Linked DNA regions of Drosophila melanogaster. The protein of the gene in region 2 interacts with the protein of the main gene of each other region in a pairwise test. Each region holds a gene or a part of one and is shown on either strand. Other genes may lie near its edges. The genes, in order: CG14419 and Cpr78Cc.

Evidence for each region.
Region 1: the proteins of Cpr78Cc (region 2) and CG14419 interact in a two-hybrid assay, tested with the Drosophila melanogaster proteins (one large-scale study listed by BioGRID).

Annotation. Positions count from the first base shown.
Region 1 is NC_004354.4:2,884,407-2,887,680, forward strand, and holds CG14419 (uncharacterized protein), read right to left. Parts: upstream 1,509-3,274; 5' UTR 1,466-1,508; coding exon 878-1,465; 3' UTR 780-877; downstream 1-779.
Region 2 is NT_037436.4:21,298,832-21,301,833, reverse strand, and holds Cpr78Cc (cuticular protein 78Cc), read right to left. Parts: upstream 1,255-3,002; 5' UTR 1,214-1,254; coding exon 1,202-1,213; intron 1,132-1,201; coding exon 784-1,131; 3' UTR 663-783; downstream 1-662. Other genes in the region: CG43702 (uncharacterized protein), read right to left, coding at 2,824-3,002.

The DNA.
Region 1 (3,274 bases), on a different chromosome or scaffold from region 2:
GTAAAATTGGCTGTTACAGCGTTAGATATGTGGTTTTTTTTTTTAAAACGGGTCTGGTTTTATTTTGATTTAGCTCGAGCTTGGCGGCTGTGTGTTTTTTTTTAGAAATAATAATTAATCTTTATAAACGTGTTTGCCAAGCTAAGAAGTTAGGCGCGACTTGCGGTAGATACAACAAATAGTTTGGCTTAATCAGGGAAGCAAAAGCATACACAGATATGCATATGTATATATGTAATTTATGCTACGAAAAATTGACTTTCTCCTTCCGCAAAATATGAATAAAAAAAAAAAACTTTTCCCGTTTTCAACGATTTATTTTGACGTATGCAGTGCTAATGTACAGGCAAATAAAGCTAAAATCGATTACAAATCAAATTTGTTTGTACTTTCTACTATTTCGTTGCTTTACTCGTTGGAATAGAAACGATAAAAAAGGGAAAATCTAAACAAATTTGATTAGATTTATTCGATTTCATTCAGAAAGCTGCCGCGTCGGTTTTTCACGTGCTCATTTCATGTTTAAATCCATATTCAAAAATCTACGACAAAAATGAATACTTTTGTATCAGCGCATATTTTTGTTTGTTTTATACAGCATATGGGTTCATTAGTCTAGTACAAAACATAAGGTACGCTTTTAGTCGAATCGAGGTGGATAATACTATGCTAACTACTTCCTTACTTTTTTTAAGGAAACTGTTCTTAATCAGAGAATAGTATAGCATTTAAATTTACATTTTGATATTATAAAAATGAAGCAAGAACGTGTGCTTTTTATTTAAAGATCCATTTTATTGGCATACTTTTTGATAAATATTATAAAGTACACTAAAAACAAAGAAAAAAAATGTAAAAAAAAAGATTTATTGGCACATTAGTTCTTCTGCTTTTGGTTGTAGTTTTTCAAGGCCTCGGCCAGTTCCGATAGTGCCGATTTCTGGGCCTTCTCCTGCTTGCGCTCCTGCTGCTTCTTCAACTGCTTGCACAGTTTCTTCAACTGCTTGCGCTCCTTCTTTGCCGATTTCTTCTCGCCACTGTCGTCCTCTTCGGACGAGGAAGATCCACCCCGCTTCTTCCGGCGGCTCAACTCGGCACATTGTTGCAGCAGCTTGGCGGCCTCATCATCATCGGGCTTTGGAGTGGTGGTCGTAGTAGTGGTTGTGGTGGTGCTCGGGGTGGTGCTGGGAGTGGTGCTGGGAGTGGTGCTGGGAGTGGTGCTGGTGGTGGTGCTCGGGGTGGTGCTTGTGGTAGTCGTACTGGCAGTTGTGGACTCTGACTTGGGCTTTTCCGTTGTCGTCGTCGTAGTCGTAGTGGTTGTAGACGACTCTTTAGGCTTCGGAGTCGTCGTGGTGGTGGTGGTTGAGGTGGTGGTGCTCGGCGTAGTGCTCTCCTGTGGCCTGGCCAAAATCGTGGAGCAGCTGGCCACCAGCAGCAGGCCGAAAAACAGTATGGAAGCGCGCATTCTCGTCTGATTTGGTTTCCCTCGACTAGACAACTAAATGGAGATCATCGCCTGGCGTTTGTTTATATAGACGGCACTTAGCGCGTTTTTGTTGCCCCAGCCCCTCTACCCCCCCGCCCCCCCTTGCATAAGATGGGCGTAGACGGTACGACTGGTTTTTTTTTTTTGGTTGGCCGATAGAAAAACGTCTATAAATTGTCATTATACATTGAAATTTTTTAAAGCAATTCTGTAGTTTTCGGGGGTTTTTTGGTGATACCCAACTTTTCAAGTTACCGAGTCCATAGATATTTTGAAAATCTTTCAAATTAATGCTATGGTATTTAATACGTTTTACTTTATATTAATGTACTAGTAGTTAAATTTTAAAATAATAATCGTAGTATATACAGCTAGTTGTAAACTATCATATAATTGTTTCAAGATACTATCCATCCATATTATTCATTCCCATCGATTCGTAGACATAAGACCAATTTTGTGAAGGGTATACAACTAATATATACATATGTATTTATGCATATGTTTATGTACCGAGACGCTGACCAAAAGTAATGCCAATATAAACATTTTTTCGTGTAGTTTTCGTTGGTCATTAGCGCTTTCTGAGAATTGGCTGCTGGATTTATTAACAAATTATTCTCGCCTTATCAAGCATTAATTGTACTTGTGTATCATATGGGCTTCACATGCGATAGATACCCTTACTCACGCTTATCAAAAATAATGCTTTGGACATTTCGATGCTTGTTATTAAACAGGTTTTGGTTTGGCCTAGGGCGTTTAATATTATTTTATTGATTGTATTCTGTATGCTTAATGATTTTCTAGAGTCTGGAGTACACTTCGATGGGAATTTGTTTTCTTGGTTTGAGCATCGAGTTTCCTTTGTTTATACGTTTGCACATTTGAGTATGCATTTTTTTCGCATTGCGGCTGGCTCATAATGCCGCTAATTGTTTATCAATTACACTTGTTAATTGTTTAATGCGACTGCAAAGTGACGCCTGGAGTTATGGGAACGGTTGGTGGCGAGAAAGGGGAGTGGAAACGAAGTCAGAGGTCGCGGGCTATCATACAAATTGCAACATTTATCCGCACACCTGATACCTGATATAACGTAGCCGATTACTTGCTCGTTTTTTTTTTTTTTTGCTCGCCATATTATTTTTGTCTGTTTGCAATTTGTACAAGTAATTGAATAAAAAACGCACTGCGAAAAAAAAAGTAATTAACAAAGGACCCGCCAAAGGAGCGAAAGTGGGCGTTGATGGTCGATGGGTTGTGGGTGGTGCATGGTGGTTTGGACCTGAGTGGCCTTCGATGGATGAGGGTCAGCAAGCACAGCGTAATCAGTGTTGCCCATTTTTCTCCAAGTGGCTACGGGATTGTAAAATGGCAGAAAAGTCCAAGTTTTTCGCAATATGAATTAAAAAATGTACAAGTATGACGGGAAAAGAGCTGAATTGACAACAGTGCAACAGTAATCCATATGCAGCAATTTAAATGCAACAGAGAGAATATGTTAATTGCGTGTGAAACCGCTGCGCGGAGTCTCGTCGCCATCTGGTATATACATATTCCTTTATTTATTACTTATTATAATTATAATTTGTTTTATTCTTTTTTTTGATTTTTGATCTACTCCATTAGCATTTTCGGCTATTTGTTATTCATTAGCTGAATTTATATTTATACGGCTTGCTTAAGCTCAACAAACAAACTACTGCACATATAATTAAAGGCCTTCTGTTAAATGGCTTCGCTTGATATATGCTTATATTGTGATTTAAAATTGAAAATTGGTAA
Region 2 (3,002 bases):
AATGATTGTTTACTGGATATATATTTTTTAAAAATAACTGAGCTGAGGCAACAGGGAAAAAAGCCAAGTGAGTTGATGACCATGCCAGCTTCCACATTTGTCTGTGCTCATGTTCGTCTGGTGTTGCTTATGCTGAATTTTTTCTTTTGCCTTGGTTAGTTCCTGGGTCTGGTTTGCAGTGTGATAAATGATTTTGGACAGCAGTTTAATTTGTCTTAATATGGTAACACATTTCAAACACAAGATTATTGATTTAATTATGAAAAGCATTTGGAAACAGTATGTGCTAATGTTCCTGACTCAGATTCAAGATTGATGAATGAATGAACCGATATTGGAGGCGTACTTTAAAACGTTATGAAAAATCAGGTTAAAATAAAGTATTTTGACACAATCTGACATCTATTTCAAGTTCCTTCATTTGCATCTGTGATTAAATAACCTTACCCCAAAAGAAATATCAGCTCAAAAGTGTGACCTTCCAAAAACAACTAAGATATTATAATATAATTTGTATGCAATTTGGGGTTAAAAATTATGGATTCAAAAACAGACGCTGGGAAGTTTAAGTTTGCAATTTGGTACAGCTAGTTTTTGCCGATTTGTATAATGAAAACATACTTGACTCTGTTCAAATGATCAGCATGGCTGTGGGTATATTTGATGTAACTATTTATGTTTTTATTTTTTGGGGGATTTATGTACAGACTTTCTAGAACTAGATATAACTCATGTTTAGCAAAAGCACTGACTAGGCTTTGAATGGGGTATCCAATCGGGGATTTAGGGCTGTGGAGGGTGGGCGGCGATGTATTCCAGGGCGCGGAGGATGGCCTCCGGGATTGGGGGAGCGGTGGGAAGGTGATCGCCCTGAGGCTGGAAGCCGTTTTCATCGGCGACGTAGGTCAGTGAGATGGGGACGCCTTCGGGGGAGATGTAAGAGCTGCTTCCGCTAATGCCATTGACGTTTCCGGCCTCCTGGGCCTGAATACCATTGCTGGTCTCGAAGGCGTATTGGTAGTTGCCCTCGGCGTCGGCAGGATTAACATCCTCGCGGGTGATCACGGCATCCTTGTTTATGTTGTCCGCATACACATTGGCCAGCATCAGAGCGGCGAGCAGGCAGAGCGACTGAAATGGTTACACACGTTCACGTTCTGATTTTGAATCCGGATCCTTCCGGGCGGCTAAGTCTACTCACTAGCTTAAACATCTTGCTGGTTTCTTGGCTTGTATAATCCTCACTGGTTGGGTGATCTTCGCAGGCGGTGGCTTTTATAGGCAGCCAACGGCAACGCCGACTTTGGCGTTGGCGTCGCCATCGCTGACGTCTCTAATCTGGCTCTGAACTCCAAACGCCGCTCCAAACTAAATATCAAACTTAATACGTTTGTCGTTTTTTTTTTTCGGCAGCAGCATACCGATCGAATTGAATAAAATTCAGCTCAGCAGCTAGTAAAAAAATGGAAAGGAGATCTGAATTTCAGCACCGCAGTGCGAAATACCCTTGCCAGATATTGCTAAGTTTACCTAGAAATCATAGGCATTTGGCTTAGCTTAGTTTAATTATCTGCCTAGCAATTTTCGTCTTAATCGGAAACTATTTTCTTTTTGATTAATCGGGCTTGTGGGCTCACTTCTTTGAGAGCTATTATTTCGTTTTTTTTTTCTTATAGAAGAACAAACAAGGGATTATAGTTTTAAATTTTCCTTAAATAAAGCACAAATTAGCATGCATGGTCATTTAAAATTAAGTGTATTGTGGTAATTCTGTAGAAGTTGGGTAATTCAATGACTAAACTGGCTTGTGTCTTCTTTTTTCAATATAAGACTTTGAACTACACGGCCTCTAAAAGGGGTGTGGCTTATGATACTTATCTTGAAACATTTGCATTTCGAAAACAAATTCAAATATTTATACAATATACTTATCTTACCAATCTCAAAAAAGCAAACCTCTGATCCAAATAATATCAGCCTTAGCTAGAGTATAATGAAGCACCTGAACCCATTCCAAGTGGTTTCTGCCGATGGATCAACACGCTTCTGCCTTGGTAGCGGTAATCATTTGACTTTGCACTTAATGGCCAATAGTAGTTTTGGTTAGCTTTTGGGGGCTTGGAGTTATGTCGACGGTAATGGAACATGTGACTGTGACATTCGCCCGTGGATGGTAAGTTTAGAGATGGACCTGGATTTGGATTTGGATTTGGAAGGGGGCAGCAGCTCGTGGCGAGCTAATTTAATTCCATCCAATCCAATTTATCATTCGTTTCGATTTCATTATCATTGGCCATTTGGCTTGCTATGAGCGCAGGCGGACAACCTGTTTGCTCATCAAGGAATTCTTAAATTCCCCAAAAAAAAAAAACAGCAAGTTCAGCTTATTAGCATACAAATTCGCTGTCCAGTAATAAATTGTATTCTAGGCCTATTCGCACTTAGCACTCCGCCTAATAAAATGCCCATCAATCGACGCTCCACCCGATCTGGCAAACTAGTTCAGCCGGCCCACCAGCATCCAAGCCCTATCCGAAATCTATGACGTATTGGACAGATGGCTACATTCTCTCAAATCTGAATTGCTAAATTATTAAAATTCAAATACACAAATTCTCAGATCATTTCGACGTCTGCTTACCGAATATCACGAGATATTAAACAGCATTTCTATAACGGTTTTAAGCAACTTTTTGATCTATATTTGCATTTGTATTTTTATTTTTATAAACTTAAATACAAATTAGACTCGTTGAAATAAATCTGGTTTCCAATTATGGCAGAACTGCACAGACACACACACACACTCTCAATCATTCTATGTCAGTGCAAAGTTTCGGTATAGAAGCCGTACTTATCCACGTGATAAAACACCCGTATGTATCCTCCCTCGGGCAGGTCAAAGTGGAAGTACCCAGGTATTTCACTGTCCAGAATCTGCACCTCTGAATTGATAGCATTCTCGAGACATCCATCCGGTTTGGTGTAGTTTTTGCGTATTG